Coturnix japonica: one gene and its partners. The main gene of each other region encodes a partner of the protein of the gene in region 5 in a complex. Links are inferred from orthologs where the notes say so. Each region holds a gene or a part of one and is shown on either strand. Other genes may lie near its edges. The genes, in order: GNB1, RAMP1, RAMP2, RAMP3 and CALCR.

Evidence for each region.
Region 1: the proteins of CALCR (region 5) and GNB1 are in contact, whole or in part, in a cryo-EM structure (PDB 8F0K), measured with the Homo sapiens proteins. The link is inferred for Coturnix japonica from reciprocal best matches to the Homo sapiens genes CALCR and GNB1. Residues at the interface, in NP_001158210.1 of Homo sapiens: Arg174, Ser175, Arg404, Gln408; in NP_001269468.1 of Homo sapiens: Thr47, Arg52, Phe292, Ala309, Gly310, His311, Asp312, Trp339.
Region 2: the proteins of CALCR (region 5) and RAMP1 are in contact, whole or in part, in a cryo-EM structure (PDB 9AUC), measured with the Homo sapiens proteins. The link is inferred for Coturnix japonica from reciprocal best matches to the Homo sapiens genes CALCR and RAMP1. Residues at the interface, in NP_001158210.1 of Homo sapiens: Arg45, Lys46, Met49, Asp50, Gln52, Tyr53, Tyr56, Asp57, Met59, Gln60, Gln61, Thr75, Trp76, Asp77, Gly78, Asn124, Arg126, Phe235, Leu238, Ile242, Thr246, Val250, Ala251, Gln257, Arg258, Trp261, Tyr262, Leu265, Phe269, Ile276; in NP_005846.1 of Homo sapiens: Trp59, Ile63, Tyr66, Arg67, Ala70, Asp71, Phe83, Trp84, Pro85, Val89, Asp90, Phe93, Leu94, His97, Gly98, Phe101, Ser103, Arg109, Ala110, Val111, Arg112, Asp113, Pro114, Ile118, Leu119, Phe122, Ile123, Pro126, Ile127, Val129.
Region 3: the proteins of CALCR (region 5) and RAMP2 are in contact, whole or in part, in a cryo-EM structure (PDB 7TYX), measured with the Homo sapiens proteins. The link is inferred for Coturnix japonica from reciprocal best matches to the Homo sapiens genes CALCR and RAMP2. Residues at the interface, in NP_001158210.1 of Homo sapiens: Arg45, Lys46, Met48, Met49, Asp50, Gln52, Tyr53, Lys54, Tyr56, Asp57, Met59, Gln60, Trp76, Gly78, Arg126, Phe235, Leu238, Ile242, Thr246, Val250, Glu255, Lys256, Gln257, Arg258, Trp261, Tyr262, Leu264, Leu265, Phe269, Pro273; in NP_005845.2 of Homo sapiens: Trp86, Tyr93, Ser94, Arg97, Asp98, Glu101, Leu109, Pro112, Glu117, Ile120, Phe121, His124, Phe128, Cys131, Pro136, Phe138, Ser139, Asp140, Pro141, Leu146, Met149, Ile150, Pro153, Ile154, Leu156, Ile157, Leu160, Ile161, Leu163, Val164.
Region 4: the proteins of CALCR (region 5) and RAMP3 are in contact, whole or in part, in a cryo-EM structure (PDB 8F0K), measured with the Homo sapiens proteins. The link is inferred for Coturnix japonica from reciprocal best matches to the Homo sapiens genes CALCR and RAMP3. Residues at the interface, in NP_001158210.1 of Homo sapiens: Arg45, Lys46, Met49, Asp50, Gln52, Tyr53, Lys54, Tyr56, Asp57, Met59, Gln60, Arg74, Thr75, Trp76, Asp77, Gly78, Asn124, Arg126, Phe235, Leu238, Ile242, Thr246, Gln257, Arg258, Trp261, Tyr262, Leu264, Leu265, Phe269, Ile276; in NP_005847.1 of Homo sapiens: Cys57, Leu59, Ile63, Tyr66, Glu67, Thr70, Tyr83, Trp84, Pro85, Gln90, Ile93, Thr94, His97, Arg98, Phe101, Ser102, Cys104, Val106, His110, Leu111, Glu112, Asp113, Pro114, Val118, Leu119, Leu122, Ile123, Pro126, Val127, Leu129.

What each region holds. Positions count from the first base shown.
Region 1 is NC_029536.1:1,628,880-1,633,142, reverse strand, and holds the start of GNB1 (guanine nucleotide-binding protein G(I)/G(S)/G(T) subunit beta-1), read right to left. Parts: upstream 2,805-4,263; 5' UTR 2,488-2,804; intron 1,956-2,487; exon of another isoform or gene 1,786-1,955; intron 1-1,785. UniProt on the Homo sapiens protein: Guanine nucleotide-binding proteins (G proteins) are involved as a modulator or transducer in various transmembrane signaling systems.
Region 2 is NC_029522.1:8,560,582-8,564,533, forward strand, and holds the start of RAMP1 (receptor activity-modifying protein 1), read right to left. Parts: upstream 2,806-3,952; 5' UTR 1,802-2,805; coding exon 1,762-1,801; intron 1-1,761. Other genes in the region: RNA-binding protein 44-like, read right to left, coding at 3,154-3,157, 3,770-3,916. UniProt on the Homo sapiens protein: Accessory protein that interacts with and modulates the function of G-protein coupled receptors including calcitonin gene-related peptide type 1 receptor (CALCRL) and calcitonin receptor (CALCR). Required for the transport of CALCRL to the plasma membrane.
Region 3 is NC_029542.1:4,631,618-4,635,899, reverse strand, and holds the start of RAMP2 (receptor activity-modifying protein 2), read right to left. Parts: upstream 2,806-4,282; 5' UTR 1,424-2,805; intron 1,367-1,423; exon of another isoform or gene 1,307-1,366; 5' UTR 1,216-1,306; coding exon 1,155-1,215; intron 390-1,154; coding exon 261-389; intron 181-260; coding exon 78-180; intron 12-77; coding exon 1-11. Other genes in the region: histone-lysine N-methyltransferase EZH1, read left to right, coding at 3,566-3,612, 4,166-4,282. UniProt on the Homo sapiens protein: Accessory protein that interacts with and modulates the function of G-protein coupled receptors including calcitonin gene-related peptide type 1 receptor (CALCRL) and calcitonin receptor (CALCR). Required for the transport of CALCRL to the plasma membrane.
Region 4 is NC_029517.1:42,832,577-42,836,508, forward strand, and holds the start of RAMP3 (receptor activity-modifying protein 3), read right to left. Parts: upstream 2,804-3,932; 5' UTR 2,602-2,803; coding exon 2,550-2,601; intron 1-2,549. UniProt on the Homo sapiens protein: Accessory protein that interacts with and modulates the function of G-protein coupled receptors including calcitonin gene-related peptide type 1 receptor (CALCRL), calcitonin receptor (CALCR) and G-protein coupled estrogen receptor 1 (GPER1).
Region 5 is NC_029517.1:21,156,669-21,160,912, reverse strand, and holds the start of CALCR (calcitonin receptor), read left to right. Parts: upstream 1-1,444; 5' UTR 1,445-1,680; intron 1,681-4,244. UniProt on the Homo sapiens protein: G protein-coupled receptor activated by ligand peptides amylin (IAPP), calcitonin (CT/CALCA) and calcitonin gene-related peptide type 1 (CGRP1/CALCA).

The DNA of each region.
Region 1 (4,263 bases), on a different chromosome or scaffold from region 5:
CTCACCAAAATTATCAACCCAAGGTCCTTAAAAAAAATAAATTCAAAGCTATAATATCATAAATCTCCATATTATCTTACAGTATCACAGAGACACAGAACTGTTTTAATATCCCTAAAGCCTTTCTTACTCATACCCATAAAAATACAGAAGGATGGTAACAATTTGGGGCCAAAAGAAGCCTAAAAAGCCTCCGCCCACCACAAGCACTGAGTGAGATGGGAGATTTCGATGGGAGATTTCGATGTTCCATGGAGGGAACCGCCTGCAGGAGACCTGGCTGTTACCTGAGCAGCAGGAACCAGCAGCACAAAGGCAGGAAAGCCTTTGCATACCTGTCTTCTAGGTTAAAAATACCATTTTTTTCCAGCAACAGGCTTAAGAAAAACAAAGAACATTTTGATGGTATTAAGCAGGAACTGCAAGGTTAAAAAAAATACACAAAAAACACAATAAAAACCTCAAAATTGTGTCACCTCTTTGTCCAGGAACGGCCGATGTGAATGTTACACTAAAACTATTTACTCCTCCCACCCAGTTCCTATCTGGAAAGGCTCACAAAAAAACGTAAAAAAAAAAAAGAATAAAACAAAAACCCACCGATTTCTTGCAATAATCTCCCAAACGCTCCTCCTGCCCCTCTTAACCCCCAAAAAAAGAAGCAAGCAAACCCAACGAGAAAGTAAATCTAAATACAATTACGAAATAAGATCGAGTTTGGCCAAGCTGTGGTGAGGAGGAGTTGAAAAATGAGAGCTGCCTTGCTGCAAACGCCATCTTGTTGCAGCTACTGGGCCCAGGCACAGAAAGATCCATTCATTCCCAGCGAAAAGAAAATCAAACACACACCCTGGTTTAATCGGCAGCCACCAAAACAACCACACTATTATCGTCCCTTCTCTTTCTCCTCTCCTAAAGCACAAAGGGGGGGGGGGGGGAGAAGTCCTTTAAGATGTCACATTTCGAACCAATTGAGAGCTGAAGAGAGGCTGCGTTTTCTGCAATGCATTTCACACACATCGGCAGCGTTTTGTCTCCATGCACACATCCTTGTGGCTGCCAGATCAGCTTCAAATAAGGGCTAAGTCTCACGATTAGGGGCAGCAAAACCTTGAATTTTTCGCTTTTCCATCTCCGAGCTGAGGCATCAATTCCCCAGAGCCATCCCCAGGACCCCTCACATTCAATCCCTTTTCCTCCTATTTTCTGCTGTGGGGACAATACATAATAACGTGGCATAAGAATGCCTTATTTTAAAGCAGTCCCACCTATGGCTAAAGAATAATAATGAAACATCACGTTTGTTAAGATTTCAGATCGCCCTCGGGAATAATAAATTGACATCTTTTAGATCGTTCGGATTTCTTGCTGGGTTATTTCTTTAATTAAAAGGCTCTTTTTTTTCCCCCTTTAATGTAATTCACAGCACGAAATAACAACCCTCCCATTTAAAACCCCCAATCCACGGGTTAAAAAGGAGACGAAATAAACCAGATTTTAAACCATCGATAATAAAGCAGGAGCAGAGGCGGTATTAACATCTTCAAGGAGAAAAAAAGCTCCTTTTTCCTCTTGCAGGAAACACCCTCCATGATCTTCCTGACGGCTGCTACAAGCACAGCGATATGCAGAGCGATGGGGGGAACGAGGATGTGCCAACAAAACGCATCCTGGCTCCCATTTTAACGGGAACAAAACGTTTTCTGCCCGTCCCCCTCCCTTCGTTCCCCCCCCCCAGGACCCCACACGCAGGGCTGGAGCCGTCTCACCCCGCATGTGCCTCACCCTCCTCTCTCTCCGTCAGCTTTCCACCATTACAGCAGCCACACCACAGCTCCTTTCTTTTCCTTCACTCTCTCTTCCCAACGTTCCTCCTCCCGTCGCTTCGATCCCTCTGGAAACTCACACCGTCCTCACCCCCCCAACCCTTAAGGATCATTAAAAATGGAACCCCACAAAAATCCAACCCACCCCCCCCCCAATCTCTCTTTTTTTTCGCCTTCGGGAGAGCAGCGGTGCCACCCCCACCTTTTTTTCCACCTCCTCCTCCTCTCCCGGCTCTAAACACGCTTCTTTTTTAGGGGAGGCTCGAACGGCGATGGGGGAAAGCGGGGGAAGGGGGGGTCCTTCCACCCCGCCATGCTGAGGGCGCCGAGCTGCCCTTCCCGCCCAGGGCTGAGGAGACGGAGAAGATGGGCGAGGAAAGGCGAAAAAACGACAAAAAAAAGGGAGGAAGGAGGGAAAAGAGAAGTGCGGCAGCAATGGGGAAGAACGGGGGGAGGGGAGCGGGGTGGAAGGGCGCAGCCACGCAGAGGAAGAAGGAACCAGGGATGGAGGAGAGCGCTGAGGGAAGATGGCCTCAGGGTGGGGCCGCGCTGAGGACGGGGGGCTCGACGAGGAGGCTCGACTCCCTGCGGGGAGATAGGAACGCCAAAGGATTCTATATGGCCGCCCCGCCCGCCACCCTGCGTCCCTTCACACGGTTACCTGCCCTTCCGGCCGCTGTTCATCCACAGGGCCGCTCCAGCCGTCGCCCGCGGCTCCTGCCCGCGTCCCCGCCGGCCTGAGGAGGGGAAGGGGCGGCGGCGGAGGGGAGAGGGGGGAAGCCGCCCGCGCTGCGCTCCTGAGGCAGAACGGCTGCGGGCCGGGGCGTAGACACGGAAGGAGCGACGGAGCGGGGCGGGGGTACCACCGGGTCTCGGCTCCTCCTCGTACACTCGGACCCCGCTCAGCTCCCCGCAGCCATCGGGAAGCAAGAGCCTGGGCGCGGTTAACCTCCCCCCCCCTCCGCCCCGCCCGTGACTGCCCGGCCGGGAAACCCCGGCTCGGCTCGGCTCCCCGCTCCGCCCCGCAGCCGGCCCCCGGCTCCGCCCCGCTCCGTTCCCCTACGGGCGGTGGCGCCGGCACCGACGGCGTTGAGCTGCGCCTCGGGCCTCGCTGCTTCGAAGGCGGCAGCCGCTGCTCAGTCAGTCAAACTCAGTCGGTGAGGAAGGCTGAGCTGACAGGAAGGGGAGATTCGAACCATCGCCGCCTCCTCCCGCTGGTTCCTCCCCGTAGCAGGAACAAAGGGCGCGGGCGGGTTTCGCTTTCTGCCCCGCCGCGCCATGCTGCCGCGCCCACAGCGTCCCCTCACAGCGTCCCCTCATAGAGTTAAACGGGGCGTGTGAAAACGGAGCAAAAGAACAATCAACAGCGCTGTTTTTGCTTTTTCAACGGACAAAGGGAGGTTTGGAGGAGCAGCACACACCGTTTTACTTCGGTTAAAGAGCATTAAATGTAAGAATTGGCGGCTGCTAGGTGTAATGGTAGGGGATGGGGCTCGAGGCCTTGGAAAGAAACGAACCCCTGTTGTGTCACAGTATTATCCTCACAGATTTCAGGCTGTGGTACAACACAGCTCACAACTTCCTGTTTTTTATTTATTATTATTTATGAATTCGTATCACAAAGGTTTTTGCACAGCCAGAATTCTCAGGGTTTGGGGTTTTTTTCCCCCATTTTATCACTGTTTTCATATTCTCCCCACAAACGCTCATCTCTGTAAGGCATTGCAGAAAAGAGCAAGACAAAAAACACAAAAAAACCCCAAAAAAATCCAATTTCTGTTTCACAGAGCAGACTTCCCCCAGCTGAATCAGGAGAGAGGTTCACAAGATGGGATCACAGCAGCACTCACGTATTAAAACATCATTACTTATTGATGGAAAGTAAGTACACAATTGCATCATATCTTTTTCCTATCAGCACATCTATATCCCTTTCCCTCCCTTCCCCCCTCCACCATTTGCTTATACTTTGTTAAGTCAGGCAGTGAGGAGATGCCTTGCTACAGGAGCAGATTTGAACTGCTACTTGCTATCATGTTTTTTGGGAAGGCAGGTGTGATTACCTGTAATTAACAAGAGGTTTGTCCATTAAACTGTAGGGAAGTGGGTGAGCTATCATTCCAGGTGTCTGTTAGGAATAACTGTTCAATCCCGGTGTGGTTAAGCCTTTGTTTTATGATAATCTAATGCTTGTCCTTAAATATGCCAAGTGCTGAGCAAAGGCTTTAATTCTTTGTCCTGAGAAATTAGAATAAAGGACTCTCCAACCAGACCCCCAAACTGATGCTATTCTGTCACCACAGAAATATAACTTCTAATCCATCCCCACAAAAAAAATACACATGCGTGTGCATTGTGGCCAGGAATTAGCTCCTTACAACCTGAATACCAGAGCTCCCACAGGTTTTATGTACAGAAATGTTCTTGAGACTGTGGC
Region 2 (3,952 bases), on a different chromosome or scaffold from region 5:
GCGCTGCACCATGAGACCACAGCTCAGCACGAGGAGCTGCACTGGCACGGCAGCCAGGGCTCAGCAAAGCCCCTGCACTCTGAGAGCTGAGCTCTCTGTGTCTGCCTCGGCACTCATACTCTGCCGGCACATCTGTTAGCACAGCTTGTTTGATCTTTCCTTTCTGAAAAAGAAAATCCACACCTGCTTCATCAGAAGCATCAGCGACCTCAGCATTCACCACTCCACTGTCTCAGCGGTCACCCCCAGTGTAGCCACATCTGTGCACAGACATGGAGCAGGAAGGAACAAACAGGCTTTTTTTCTTTTAATCTTTCTTCTTTTTTTTTCTTCACCCAACTAGAGCAGGACATACTTTAAAATAAAAGCCTGCAAAAGGACACAGCGAAAGAAATGCATCCCCAACTCAGCGCCAGGATTAGCTGCCATCTATCACAGCTAAGTGGCTTACACTGAGGCAGACGTCCTGCTGTGAGTGCTGGAACTGGAAAAGAGCAGCCTGGAGTACCACCAGCTCCCGCTCTGTTATTTCCAAAGCCCCTGAACCCAAACCACGTGGCAGAAGGTGCAGTAAAAGAACGAGCAGAAGTCCTGCAGCCAAACCAGGAAAGCCTCCTGGCCATGACTTCCTTCCACCTGGATGTTTCACCAGTTAAAGAACAGCAAAGATTGGGTTTAGGGCTCTGCACAGATGGGAACAATGCGAGTGACCACAGGAATAAGGTGGGGGAATTCCACCCCTGGAAGGGGAAAGCAGCAGGGATCCCATCACGAGGGACACTGCCTCGAGCTCCCCGTGGGGTCATGTCCCAGAAGCCGGCTTACATTTGTGACCCTAGAGAAGGGAAAGGGACTGCAGACAGAAATCTTACAGCAGCAGGAGCTGCTGTGTGCTGGCAGTGGTACCTCACAGTCCCACCTAGCAGAGCAGAGTGCACTTTGCCTGCCCTAACTCCCCCTGAACGAGCTGCAGCTACAGAGCAGTGCAGTTAATGACAGCGCTGGGATGAGCCCAGTGCAGCCCCATGCATTATTCAGCAGGGTACCAGGAGAAAACCTGCACTAAAGTGCAAACGGGGAAAGAACAAGGCTATGTTTCCTCAAGGAGCACTTCAGTGTCACGCAAAAGCAGCTGCATGGCACTGTGCGGCTTCTTTTTTAAGCAATCCTAAATATGCTTCTCACACAAAGTACCAAAGCACAGTGGTAAGGTTTTTAATGAGTATACTCGGGTTATAAGCCAATCCTCTACCTGTTGCGCACGAAACCCTACCAACATCGAGGAGACCTCACGCCTTGTGAAAGCAGATGGCTGATGCAGGAGTTCCCAAAGTGACCGGCGGTCTCCCACCTGCAAATCCATCCCCAGCTCAGAAGCATTGGCCAGAAGGAGCACTTCTGGCTGGCTCCTCTCCTCTCGCCTGGTTAAGAAATGGCAAAACGGAGAAAAAAAACGGAGAGACCCCTCCTAGAGCGGTTTCCCTGTCGTTAATTTCTGCACTGGAAGCGAAAGGCAGGGGATGTCTTCTGACGTGAGCGCTCTTCAGTGCATCCCACCGCGCACAGAGGACCGTGTCGGACCGCATCGCCGGCAGCACACACAGAGCCCAACTCCCATCGCTCCTCAGCACTTGGGAACGGCCGCTCCTTCCCGTTCCCCCCGCAGCCAACGCGGAGCGGGCAGAGCCCGCACAGCCCGCGTTCAGGAGCCTCTCTCAGGGTCCCCCTCTCCCCCCTGGATGCCGGGGCAGCCCAACTCACCCAGCACGAAGCAGAGGAAGCGGCGGGGCAGCAGTGCCATGGCCAGCAGCAAGGGGCCCGGCTGCCGCCTCGCCTGGAGCTGCGGCGCGATCGTGCCCGTCCTTGGTGCTTGTTTCGTGTTAACAGAAATCAAGCGAGTTCGCACAGCTCCACCTGCGGGAATCGGCAGCGCTCTGCGTTACGGACATCCCCGTTTTCTCGTCGCAGCAGAACGCCTCCCTCCGTAAAGCACCGTGCCCATCTCGTTGCACAACTAGGGAGCACGGAGGGCGGTGTGTGCTGTTAGGGATGCGGTAGGGCGAAGCGCTCAGCTGGGTGCGGGCAGGGAGGAAACCAAAGCGGAGGCTGGACCCGCAGCTTCGGGATAAAGCAGCAGCAGCGCCTGGCAGCGCAGCACCGGGGCTTGGGATGCGTTTGCCACCACGGCGAGGGGAGAGCAAATAGTGAGGGGTGGAAATAGCAAAACGACAGCACAACTCTGGGCAGAAGGAATCTCAACCTTTATTCACGGTAAGGCTGCTTTCGGCAGCACGGGCAGCCAGGAGCAAAGTACAGCCAAGGGACAGAGATGGACAGCAATGAGTGGTATGACAGCACACGCCCGCCAGTGACAATCAGTGCTGGCTTCTTCCCTCAGCCCCACAGCAGGCACACACCCAGCTGCCTCTCCTTCCGTCGCCAGAAGAGGATGTAAAACCACGGGAGCAGCTCCACGGGCAAACAAAAGGCTGGGTGCTCCCGTATCAACCCAAAGCAGACCTCGGGGAGGGTCTGTGTGGGAGAGGCTTTCCCCTGCACAGTGCTATAGGACCCAAAAGAAAAGCTTCTAGACCCAGCCCTCCTGGGCAAGGCTCTGCTCAGAGCAGCCGCTGCAGCACGGGGCTTATGTAAGCGCACTGCCAGCGCCGTGCGATCTGCAAGCCGGCCCTTGCTGCCTCTCCCTCCCCTGCCTTGCGTGAAAAGGATACTTGACATTTCTGCCCACTATTTGGAACTGTTATCTGGAAAGCACGTAAGCGTGCCGGCTGTTTGTTAGCATGGCAGCTATCACCGTGCCTGACACAGAGCGGCACCGGGAGCCGGGGCTTGTGTGCTTCAGCAGAAAGAAGTCCTGCTGCTATAAGTCTCAACGTGCTAAAATGGGAGCCTTAAAACCTCATAAGAAACAGGGGGAACTACACAGAACAACCAAACTGGGAAGAATTACTCAATATCTGTCTGCACAAAAAGCTGAAAAGAACTTGGGGCTATGTTCGGTCAAACAGAACTGCAAACCAAACAGCAATGCTAAGCGAGTTGTCACGAAATCAAACAAACAAGAAGGACAGAACAATCCCGGAGCGAGCTGGACTGCAAAAATCTGTCATGTGAAGTGGTCGGTTCTTCATTACATCATCTACGCAGAAAGGAAGATAAAGGAAAAGCAGATTAAGTTTTGCCTGAACACGTGTAAGGCGAAACAAAACAGCGGCGTTGTCAGCATCCCAGAGCACCACTAGAGGCTGTATTGCTTTTACTATGGAGGGCAGAAGTTTGCATGCAGGAGCGAGGTTTCCTAGCCCTGAGAACTGCGTACCAAAAAGTTATTACGCTAAAATGCAAAGGGACAAGCAAACTTATTCTGTTCAGTACCTACAGCAGGAATAAATATCACACAAGAGAAAAAATCGTCAGGTTTTAAACCAGAATCGAGCCTGGAGTTCCTCTGTGAAATGCTGCACAGGAACTGGCCACTAGATGTCACCTTTGGCCAGAACATTGTTAATTTACTCCACTACGTTCATCGATAAAACCCGCACAGTGAAACCCCCATTGCACCCAGGTTGATGAGTGCACAGAGCCAGCAAGCTGCTCTGCTCACAGACGTTCTGCAGCAGCACCTCATCTTTAGAATCTGCTGTTGTAGTGATTCATACTCATTGTGCAGGAACAGGTTCCTAGGGAGCTCTCATTGTCAGGCTATGCAGCTAGATTAATTCACATCTATGTTGTAGGCTGGAATACTTACTGATCGCCACTGCCTTTCCCTGTACAAACAGCCGTTGGTTTCCTTAGGATTACAGAGGCCCTTTCCATAATAGAACTGATGGACAAGCCACTTAGGACACCATTATTGTTCTTCCTCACCTCCAGCAGAGCATCCACGATTTTATCTCTGTAGGAGCAACATAAACAGCTGCTGACATCACTT
Region 3 (4,282 bases), on a different chromosome or scaffold from region 5:
AGCTGTACGGCCTGCAGAGAAGCACAGCTCACTGGGCTGCCCGCCACCCCCGGCTCGGTGCCCCCGTCCCCCCCTACCTGCTGATGACCTTCCACTCGCACAGCTGGGAACCGCTCACGTTCTGCATCAGCTGCTCGAAGGACTCCCAGCAGCGCTGTGTCAAGTTGGTGTAGATCACCTCTGTGTGGGGGTGGGCACTGAGCGCAGCCATGGGGCGGCCTTGGAGGGGTTTGGGGATGAGGAAAGGGGTCAACACTCACCCAACATCTCAGCCGTAAAGTTGAACACACGCGTCACTGGGGTTGTTCTGGCCGCTGGGGTTGTTCTTGCCTCCTGCCCAAAGCTCTCGGCCGTGGCACCCGCTCGGCAGAACTCATGGACCAGCAGTGCTGCAGGAGGGGGACATGCTGAGCACTGAGGAGGGGGAGCCACGGGTCTGCAGCAGTGATGGGAACGAGGAGGCCCAGGGAGGCGGTGGGGTGATGGGATGGAGGGTGACGGGGTGATGGGATGGAGGGTGACGGGGTGATGGGATGGAGGGTGACGGGGTGATGGGATGGAGGGTGACGGGGTGACTGGGGGCCACCAGCACCGTGGGGCCGTGCTGCACTCAGCGCCTGGCACTGGGGCAGGGAGCACCTATTTCCAATCGGGAAGAGGAAGTGCTGACCGCAGCGCAGCACAGCCACGAGACAGAGCCTCCTGCCGCCCCCCCCCGTCTGTGGAACTCACTGGCATGGGGCACAGCCCCTCAGGCCCCACCAGACCCCAGAATCAGGATCACTCCTGTCTGTTTTCCACCCTCGGTGTGGGCATGGCACACCACCCTGGTAGCTACTCTGCTGTGGCCTGTGCAGGCTGGCCGTGTGCTGTGGGCCGGCACAGCGGCTGTGCACTGGCACAGTTGTGGCAGCAAGGGCAGCCCACGTGCCCCCAGCGCCCAGTCCCCTGGCCCTGGCACGCTCCCTGCCCAGGGCACAGCTGCCATCCAGACCGGGTCCCCTCAGACGCTCCATCGCTGCCCACCAAGGGGAAGGGGCCGCCCACAGTGCCCGGTGGTGCTGGATGGCTGCCGTAGCACTGTGTCCCGCTCACCCAGCACAAGTCCTGCCTTGACCGGGGTGCAGCCGCGTGCTGTGGGGCCGAGCACTTACCGCAGAGCAGCAGGAGCCCTCGGGAGAGGCAGCCAGAGCCCATCTGCGCATACGGTGCCATCCTGCTGGAGCCTGCGGGCTAGCGACCGGGACAAGGATTTCAATGGAAATAACAGGAAGCAACTCCTTTCCTCTGACAGGGGCTGTTTGAACTACAGGAGACGTGTGAAAAATGAGATTACTTAGTGCTGCTCTGAGGCAGCCCTCCCCACAGGACCCCACCGCTGTGCAGCAAGTGTCGGACCCCCGGGCATCGCCCCACACCTCACCCTGGGCAGCAGAGGGGCTCCCGCAGCACGGCCGCTTCACAAGGCCGCTGTTTGTTTACTTGTGTATTTCTCTTTAATCCTGTCTGGGCTGGGTTGTGAAATCCCTCGTCTCCTGCGTGGAGGGCAGGCAGCCCGGCAGCGGGGGGAGTGGACGGTGGAGCAGGACGTCCCCGGAGGGTTCTGCTGGAGGCTCGGGGTCGTTACGGCCCCAGCCCCGTGTTCATGGCGCCGTGTGGCACCTGCCCCGGGGGCACGGGTGGGGCTGGAAGGGACGGCGGCGGTACCACGGGTGTGCGAGCCTCAAGCAGGCAGGAGGAGAGGATGGGGCGAGGGACTGTGGCTGCAGAGCTCCTCTTCATCCCGTGCCACCTCGGCTCCCACCTCAGGGCAGCGCGGTGCTGGCTCTGCAGGGTCCCCACCCGGGGATGGAGCTCAGGCCACGCGAGCTCATCTAACTGCTTGCCAAAGGCTGAGCTCCAGCCCAAAGCTTTCCCTTTAAAATCCACTCATGGGACTCACAGAGCACAAATCACACAGCAGAGAATTGCAGTTCATGGGGACCCTCCCTGCTTTGGAAGGATTCTATTGCTGTGCTGCACATTCCTGCTGCAACACACTGCACGTGCTATGTGCAGGCTGAGGCAGCCGCCACCCTCCTGGCACTTGGGAGCCCTTCAGCGGTACCGGGAGCCCACGAGGCTGCGGCACAAAGTCACAGCCCCATTCTGCACTTTGTTGTCACAGCCCTGGAGCTGCAGCCGGCAGCAGGAGCCTCTGCCAGGGTGACACCCGGTGATCTCAGCCGGCCACTCCTTGCACAGCCGGGGCAGTCTGCCAGCACCCACTGCTCCCCAGCCCCATTTTGCAAGCTCCCCCCAGCCCTTGGCTGCAGTGCTGTGAGGGGGACTCGACTGAGCAGCGGGGGAAGCATTTCCCATGTTCTGGGCTGGGCTGCAGCCGTCCCGAGCCCTGCTGCCAGCCTCGGCCCATGGCACAACGGGCACAGACGCAGCCTGGACCCCGCCTGCTGCTTTGACTCGCTCTGCAGCTGCCCACGTTGCGCTCTGGGGCTCAGCGCAGTGTGGGCAGTGAGGCTGCGGGGGTTGCGCTGGGTCCAACCCAGACCCCAGGTTCTGCCGGTAGTGGGAGCAGGAGCCGCAGCCCCGACGAGCATCTTCCCACCGGCTGCAGCTTCCCCCCGTGCCGGGGCGTATCACCGAGCTCATCTCGGCACCTTCCACCCGCGCTCAACCCAATGTCAGGGAAGGCGGAAGGTTCTGCCCGACTCAGCAGGACGGGCTCAAAGGCAGCAGATACGGCCAGGACCGGGGCTGAGCTGTGGGATGAGCAGCCAACGGCCCCGCTCACTGCCCGGACAGGGACCCGCGGGTTCCCCCCGCTCCTTCCGGCTGGGCGGAGGGGAAGGAAGGAAGGAAGGAAGGAAGGAAGGAAGGAAGGAAGGAAGGGGCCCGGCCGGGAGCGCGGCTGGGGAAGGGAGCGCCCGGCCGCAGCCCCGAGCAGAGCGGGGCCGGGCGGAGCCGAGTGGAGCCGGGCGGGGCCGGGCCGCGAGCGGCCGGTTCCGGTGCGGGGCGCCGCCCTTCCCGGTCGGAGCCGCAGCTCCGGGGCTGCACCGCGCGGGGCGGGGCGGCGGCGAGGGGCGGGGCTACGGCGGCGCATGCGCAGTGCGCGGGGAGCGCGGCCTCCCCCGGCGCGATGGCCGAGGAGTGAGTGCGGGGCGGGGCGGGGCCTGGGGTCCGGCGGGGGGCGGGGGGCGGCCCGGCACGGCGGGAGGGGCCCGGGAGGGAGCGAGGGGTCGGCGGGGGTGGGGGATGGAGCGGGGCGGTAGTGCCGTGGTAGTGCCGTGGTAGTGCCGTGGTAGTGCCGTGCCCTGTGGGGGCTGGCGGCTGCTCGTAGGGGGCAGATCTAAGTCCCCTGAGGCCCCGTGGGGCCCCGTGGGACCGTGGGCTGTTGTATGGGGTGCGCCGGGCCCGATGGACGGGGCAGCGCCCGGGGGTTGGGTGAGGCCTGGGAGCGGGCACCGGGCGGGGCAGCGGCTGAGGCCTGTCCCGGACACTCCGCAGTGTCACCGTCCCGGCAGCCACCGGGGGTCCCCGTGTCCCCTCGTGGCTGGAGGCTGCGGTGATGGGGGCCCAGGGAACCCCCGTGGGTGGAGTGGAGCGGCCCGCTGGGTACGTACAGCCCGGGCCGGGGACTCAGACTCCTGGATGGGAGCTGAAGCGTCCCTTGGGCTCACAGGGCGATGCCCGATGCCCAAACCCCCGGCTCCAACTTCTCCATCAGGTCGCACTGTGTATTCCCAGCCAGGAGCTGTCCTGTGCTGACAGCCTGCGCAATGTCCTTCCCAGCCTCCTGGCAATGAGATATTCTGAGCTGGATGTAACACTGCTCCTGACATGTTGGCCTCCCAGCGCCCTGTGAATCGAAAGATTACAAGCAGGAAGGAGAGCTGCTTGGACAGCGACAAGACAAGGGGGACTGTCCATAAGCTATAGAGGGCAGGCTTAAGTCAGATGTGAGGAAGCAATTCACTCCTCAGAGGTGGTGAGGTCCTGGCACTACTGCCCAGAGAGCTGTAGGTGCCCAAGGCCAGGCTGGGTGGGGCCCTTGAGCAGCCTGAGCTGGTGGGGGCACCCAGCTCATGGCAGGGGATGAGGCTGGAGGGGCTTTAAGGTCACTTCTAACTCATCGTTCTGTGAGTTTATTCTTACTGTATTTTCATAGAAAAATGGAAATCGCCACTCCTCCAACATCAAAGTGTATTATGTATTGGAAAAGAAAAGTCAAGTCTGAATATATGCGTCTCCGGCAGCTCAAGAGATTTCAGGCAAACATGGGAGC
Region 4 (3,932 bases), about 22 Mb from region 5:
TTGTAGATGCATCACTACTTCTGAGTTGCTTAGATCCTACCCTACAGTTGGTAGATAACTTCTAAGCATCTACACTTCATATGGGAACAGTATCAGTTACGTGCCTATGTGTCAGCTGCCTCAGCTCACAGATTCCTTCATCCCAACAGATGTGCATACAGGTCACAGCAAATCCAACTTCTATAATTTCTGTGCTTCCAGGAAACACACACAACTGCCTTTTTGCCATCTTTGCAAAGAGGGACAGTACAACAGATGGTTCTACGTAATGATAATATTTTAAAAGCCATAAACAGAAAGACAGGCAGAAGGCAGTGGTGTGAGTATGCAGAAGTGAGGTTCCAGTCCCTTACAAGACAAGCTTCCTATAGCATTCAGAGAGCGCTAACACTGAGGACTCCTGTCCCACTCCGCAGGTTTCAAGAGGTAAATCTATTTCACGTGTCGCGTCTCCCATAGTCAGCAGGGGTCACTACCGCAATGGAGCTATCCCAGACTTGGAGGAAAAATATACACGAATTTATTACTGAGAGCTTTCTTAACGATAACTAATACTCAGAGAGGGAAAAAAAAAAAAGAGCATTATAGGTAAGAAAACATTAGGCAACGGCTACTACAAGGAACAAAAGATTGTAAAGATAAAAGATAGAAAATGGGGAAAGTGACACAGATGGACAGATGTACAAACTGCGAAGCAAAGAGGTTCACCACTCTTCAAACCAATGACGTCTTGGTGTCAGATTCTGATCTTTAGTAGTGGTAGTTCACAGGAGGTTGTGTTGTTCAGCTGATAAGTAGGACAACAGTACAACCTCTTACTTATAGTCCAAAGTGGTCGAGCCTGCTCAAGAGAGTGACAGCTTCTGGCTTCAGGATCACAGCAGGAACTCCTTTGCTCCTGTCTTCCATGCTTTGTAAATTTAAATCAGGAGATAAGAGGAAGCAGGGAGACGTCAGCTTGTATCATCTTCACAGGGTACAGTGGTATCATTTCCCAGTCTTCCGTATCAAGCTGGAATCCTTTGCTCACAGGACAAGTTTTCAGCCAACAGACACTCCTGGGCCCTCCCATTCGAAGGAAAACATTCCCAAGAAACACTGTCAAATGTAAAACTATCCACAAAGTGATGTTGATTGACTAGTGTTGACTTGAGATACTCCTTACCAGTCTTGGACAACTCTTCAGCTTACAGAGAGTTTATGGCTCTCTGGTTAATCAAAAGAAGCCATTAGAAAAAAGGGAGAAATACACACACAAGATTTCATGTCTCAAAATTTTCAGGGCTCCCAAATGGCTTTTCTACCAGGAAATGTCTATGATTTAGTCTAGTTTTTGAATATATCTATCCTTCCTAACTTATAGCAACAGTAACACATTATCAGTCATCAGATATCCTTAAAACCATTTAGTTAGTGCTATTAGGCAAGCAACAAGCACAGTCAAAAACTGCCTGGCACAATTGATTTACCTGTTCCTTTCTGGTGAAAAATAACTGCTAGTTTTCAGAACCACAGCAACATTGCTCCTCATTACACGCTCTCCAAAATCTTCTGTAATTTCACATTGCAAGAGTCACAGTAACATCAGGAGGATTTCCCACTCAGAAAAATTACTGGTTGATTCACTAAGCTCAAGGTTGCACAAATTATCATGTGCCAAGGTAGGTGTTAGCCTTTTTTTACTATTATTATTCCTCAACAGCTGGAAAAGGAAAAAAAATCCAAATGATCAAGGTAAGGCTTTAGCAGTCCTCAAGACATGGAGAATTCCAAACTCTATTTATTTGGCATTACATTCTTGTGACAGGGAGATCAAGACAACATTACCTAACACTGTCAGTGTAACAGTCAATATAGTTACTGGTATTTCCAGTGTTTACCAGCTTTACATTTTGGAAAGAGTAAGAAGCTAGCAAACAAAGTTTAAGTAGTACTCAGTCTAAATCTACAAGGCTGATTTTCTTTTCTCCTATCCATGACACATTAGCTGCATCTTGGAGGTTACTGTGGAGTGAAGTTCAGAGCTGTCATCTGACACAAACTTCTGACTGACCACAACATACTGTATCTCAGAGTCCTAAGACAACCTACCTGATGATGAATAATTAAATAAATAAATAAACAAGCCACTCAAGTAGTTCTGGAAATAGAGCTGATCTCTCCTTAAGTGCAAGGTCTGAAAGATATCTGCACTTTTACCACTGCTCGTGAGCAACCCAGCCACTCTAACACAAAATAACCCTTCCTTTACCAGTGAAAATTTTCCCCTCTCACGCACTCGGAACTGCTTCACAGACACCGGACTGGGGCTCCCAGCTAGAACGGCAAGCAGTGCTGCTCAGTTCAGTTTCGGGAGGGATGCACATACCATACCGTACTGCAGCGAACAGATCTCCCTGCGAGATGCTGCTCGGGGGCAGAAGCCGCGCCGTACCCGCAGTGCAGCCGCCCTGCAGCCGCTCAGCCCCGCGCCTGCGAGGGCGGAAAGCCTAGGGACGACAAGCTGCTACCCACTACCCCGCCTCGCCCTGGCCCGGCGTCCCGCTTACCCCAAAGCAGCAGGACGGGAAGGTGCCGCCGGCAACGGACGGACGCCTCCATCCCAGCGCGGATGGGGCCGCGAAGGACGGAGCCCACATGGGGTGATGATCCGTAGCCGCGCAATGCCACGGCCGTCTCACTCCCTCCCACAGGGCAGGCTCTCCTTCACGCCCCGGCGGGCGGCCCCGGGCGGCGGCGAGGCGGGTGAGGGAGCGCGCAGCGTCTCCGCCCTCGGGGTGCTCCCGGGGCGGGGCAGGGCGGGCTGCGAGGATCCGAGCGGGGGATGCGGGTGGGGGTGCGCCAGGAGCGTGCGCTTTCCGTGAGCATGAGTAGCGGGCGGGTGCATTTGTGTGCGGTTATGTACGACACTGCACAGACAGGTGTACAGGAGTGTGCCTGTGTCCATGAATGTGGGTGCATGTGTGTGCATTCATGTGCACAGCCATGCATATGCCTGTGCAAATCCATACGCATGCATCCATGTGAACACATGCATATACACATGAATGAGTGTATGTGTAGGGAGCCTGCTTTGGCAGGGGGGTTGGACTCGGATGATCTCTAGAGGTCCCTTCCAACCCCTACAATTCTGTGATTCTGTGAGTGAATATACATCCATGTGCATGCATGTGCGCACCCATTTGCAAGCATTTGTACATCCATACATACGGGTGTGCAGCTGTATGGTTCATGTGTGCACCTATGCACATACATCAATATGCACGCCCACATGCACATGCAACCATGCCAGCAGGCCCCCCAAAAGCCACAGCAAGCAAGCAACATGATACCACTCCCAAGAAACTGAACTAAAAGGGGTGCTTCACTCTCTCACACCCACAGAAAACATGCATGCTACCAGCATCCAAGAGGGGAGAATGGAACCCTTCACCTGCTCCAGTTGAAGCAGCCCCTACCTCCTGCCTCTGCAACCCAGCAGTGGGTTGAAGGCATGAAGGTCTGGAGAGCTACATGTGCTAGCTCACTTGCAGCACCAACACAGTAACTCACTAATATCCAGAGCTGAACATGTGCAGAAATCTAACTTAATACCCAGAACAGAGCAGCCACAAGTTCCATAAAGATGCTTGATTTATTTTTGTGTTGTTTCATCTCTGTCTGGCCCTGCCCACAGGGAGAATGGTAAGACCCTCATTTTTATAAATACTTAAATGCTGTGAACTTGAGTTCTTTCTCTCTCTGGGAAATAAGGATCTCTGCAAAGAAACATCAGGCTGAGAACCTGCTAAAGAAGCCTTTTCTAAGCTAGAAGTATTTGTACTGCTCTAGAATAAAAAGCCACAATTCACCTCAGTAACTATCTTTCAGTCAAACATTAAATCACAGACATCATTGTAACAGTACACTGTGAAACTAAACTTCAAAAAGAT
Region 5 (4,244 bases):
TGGTGATCTACCCTCTCAACTGCTTCTGAAACTGCCAGTAAAGAAAACATTCCAAGCTTCCAGATCTTTAAAGGTAATGGCCTTAAGTTGCACCAGGGGAGATTCAGGCTGGATATGAGGAAAAAGTTCTTAGAAGGAGTGGTGAGGCATTGGCACAGGCTGCCCTGTGAGGTGGTGGAGTTACCGTCCCCGGAGGTGATCAAGAAACACGTGGATGTGGGACTGAGAGCCATGGTGAGGATGGCTTGGTGGTTGGACTAGGTGAACTTAGTGGTCTTTTCTTAATGATTCCATAATTCTGTGATCTCCAGCACTTAGCATGGAGCTGATCTTGCTGGGTGGCAATGGGCCCTCAGCAGTGCTGTGCATCAGGCTCTGGGCACAGTGCAGCCCATGGAAGTGGGGAGCGATGGGGGGTTGTAGAGTCTCCTTCTCTGGAGATACTCAAGACCCACCTGGACGCCTACCTGTGTGACCTGGTGTAGGGAACCTGCTTTGGCAGGGGGGTTGGACTCGATGATCTCTGGAGGTCCCTTCCAACCCCTATGATTCTGTGAAATCTCCACCAGGTCCCTGCTTCTGCCAGAGATCTGCCAGCAGCAAAGTAAGCACGACAATGTGAGAGCTCGCGTCCCATAGACTCTCGCTATTTCTTTAAGAGAAAGAGCAAAGCCTACAGCGAAGGCTGAAATCTGAAGGGGACGACGGTTGAGTCGCCCTGACTCCCGCTGCCCCCCGGCTCCACCTGCTGGGAGCTGCCCGCTGCGCGTTCGGAGGCAGCGCGGGGTGAGAGCTCTCACCGGCTGAGGATGTGTCAGCCGGGGACGTGAGAGCACCGGGAGCTGGCACAGCGCGGTGTCGCTCCTCAAGCCCCGACAGTCGCTGCTCCCTCACTGGTACGACTCTGCTCCCTCCGGTGCAGCGTGGGGCGGAGGGGAAGACCTCTTCCCTGGCTCTCCTTGTGCTTAAAAGGCTCGCATAACTTTTGGAACGGGGGTTTGGATGACTGCCGGCACCGACTGCAGTTTCCCTCACGGCAGCCGGGACCCCGCTCCCTCAGCCCACGCTCCTCTCCCCTCGGCCCTGCGTCCCCCTGGCTTTTCTCTCCCTAAACGCGAGCTGGGCTCGGAGGAACTTCTCCGGGACGAGGAGGAGGAGGCGGCAGGAGCGCACAGAGCCACGCTCCGCGGAGGAGAGCCCTGAAAGGCACCGCGCCTTCACGGCACGCAGTGCCCAGCAGCAGCGGCTCAGTCACCTCGCCCCCATCTCCACCACCTCCACCAGCACCACGCGGGTGACGGGACTCCACGCTGCCACCCCCGCCTCCTCCGCGGGGCCGCCCCCGCCCCGCCCGCTCGGCGTGGCCGCCCCGCCGGCATCAGGCGGCCGGGAGCCGCGGGGAGGCGGGCGCGGGGGAGGCGCTGCTGCCGCCGGGCTCTCTCCATCCGCCCCGCACCGACGTCGGCGCGAAGCCCTCCCGGCGCCCGGGGGGAGGGAGAGAGGGAGATCGCGTCGCGGGCGAGAGGGGGTGGATGCTCGCAGAGGTGCGGCTCCGCAGGAGGGTCTCGGCTCTGGGCTGAGCCGCAGCGGGACGCGGAGTGTCTGGGTGTCCGAGCTGCGAGGGCCGTCCGGGAGCCGGCAGCCGTGGAGCGAGCAGAGGGCGCCGGGAGAGCGGCCGCAGTAAGTGCCGGTAACTTCGCCGCTCCGTGTGGGCGAGGGGTGGAAGAGAGTCGGGGAGCGAGCCGGGAAGGGAAAGCAAGGCGAACAGTGAAAAGGGAGCGGGCTGAATGGGTCCGAGCTGGGGCTGCCGGCGTGGCGGCTGGGGGACACCTGAGTCCGCAGCAGCGCTGCCCGCTCTGCCCTGCACGGTGTCCGCGCTCCCTCCGTCCCGCAGGGCTCCCGCTGTGATGATAACGGTGTAAAAGCGGCACTGGTCCGTCTCGGAGCGGTGCCGCTGGTGACGGTAGGTTGATGTATGAGGCTATTTACTCTGTGTGTCCAAGCACAATATAAACGCCTGCCAATTTTGTCTTCAAATTGCTGTATTGATTTCATTCTTGCGGGCTTCTTGACAAGGTTAAGGTAGTTGACAGTTCGTAAGGAAAAGAGAAAAACTTCTGGTTTATTTTGGTAACTGAATGTCGTTTGTAGCTGAAATGGTGCACTAAAAAATCATTCATAAAAAGAGAAAATGGGAAGATGCGATCCCCAGACCTCCAATAGGAAAACGTGATCCCTGGACCTTCTGCACTCAGTATTATCAATACCAGATGCCCTCCTGCCACACTGCTGTGCCCACCTGAACCTCAGGGTAACACAGTATTCTCCCTGAGACTACATGCCTCCCCGTTACAGTTACATAGTTGAGAATGAATGAAGTCAGCCATTGCGTTACTGCACGCTTTGTCTTTCCGCCAGCTCAGATTCAAACTGAGATCCTGCTCCTTTCCCCCGGTGCTGGCAGGGCAGTGTTTGGCAGGAGGCCCCATGCCTGCCCCCAGAAGGATCTCTGTGCTGCTTCTCTGCTCTCAGCAGCTGAGGTTGATGACGGAATTTAATTCACCACTCGTACAGTAATTGTGAATTAGGGAAATTAAATACAGGAGAGCAAGTGTTTCCTCTGAATATTTCCAGACAGCTGTCAGCCTTTACCATTAGGTAACCTTTGCTAAGTTGCCTTTGTGGTAACTTACATACAGTGGCTGACATGAAATTGTGCTGGATGAACTAAAACCTTCCTGACAGTGCCACTGTATGCTAACTGTGTAAATCTTGGGTAAATCATGTCACCTTACAGACCAACTCCTAGGGTAGGTTTAGCAATAGGTCTTTATCACTTGAAGAGTTGGTATTAGCCAACTTTGGCTAGAAATTCAAGTGATGGTGTTTAAATTTGACTCTCCACAGCAGCATTTTGAAATCATGGGTGATGGGCACAGGGATCTTAATGTTTAAAAATGGCTACACATAACAAGCTGTTTTGTACTTTCATGAAAAAATAGGCCATTCAGACCTGCCTTACACTCATATCTTTATGGGCATTTTCATCAGAATGGTATATAAGCAAGTTTGACTGCTGCTTGCATATGTACTGTATTATAACACAGGTATTCAGACAGTGTGGAGGCATAGCAAATTATGTTGCTTGTGACAAAGGCATTTACAAATAAACAGCTAATATTTGATTTACTATAGAATTATTGGCTATTAATAAGAGTTCTGTTATTATGGTCTAGTTCTCTATAGCTCATGAGCTTTAAGGAGAGGTGAAGGAACAGAAGCATCCTTTCTAAAAGCCTTCTTGAAATAGTACTGCATAAAATATGTGCAAGAATTAATTTATTAAGCTCACCAAATCCAGCTTAGCAAACCTTTTTCTTTCAGATCTACAAGGAGAAGGCTTTTGAAAACCTTTTGAAAAAACTGAGAATTTTCATCCAAAATGAAGGCGGTCTTGTGTAGAACGTTTTGCTTAAGTGCCTCCCTTCCAATCTACCTCCCGTATCAAAGTGGAATGGGACACTGCTGAAAGTTACCCAGTTAGTGTTGAATGTTAATTAAAAGCTGTTGTCTAACAAGCACTTGATACAACCAAATTCAGATCTTGTCATTTTAATAATGCCGTCGTGACCAAAATAGCTGCCAATAATTTCCATCAGTTTTGTGTAAGCAAACATGGAAGAAGGAAAAGCTTATCATGACTTAGAGCTCCTAAAAAGTCATTGCCCAGAAGAAAGACCGCTCTATATTTCCTTTTATAATGATGTATATGAATACGGGTTTTGGAAAAAATGAGCAATGAAATAATTGAGCTACACTTGCCTGGAAGCTGTGATAGCACGTGCCGTGAGATTTGGTTTTGCAAATGCTCATCTGTTCTACATATCAGTAAGCTCATTTTTATTTATTTTTTTCTGATAATTGGGGTTCAGATCCTAATTGCTGCCATTAGAGTCAATATTAAATCTTCTCTTAATGCTCATACTGGTCTCAACTGAGCCTTCCAGGAGCCATCCTGGTACATGCTGAGCACTTCCAATTCCTGCTGCTTGTGTCAGAGGGGCATCTGGGCAGAGAAAAATTCACTCCCTTCAGAAACTTGTGGTGTAGGTAACAGAGCCAGAGACACCTTGCTGAAGGCCCTGCTGCAGGTCTGGAACATCAGTACTGGCTGCTTAACAAGGGTACACTGAGCAGCCTTAACAAGATTGAGCATTCATGCTTTCGATGTAGGTACCCTCAAA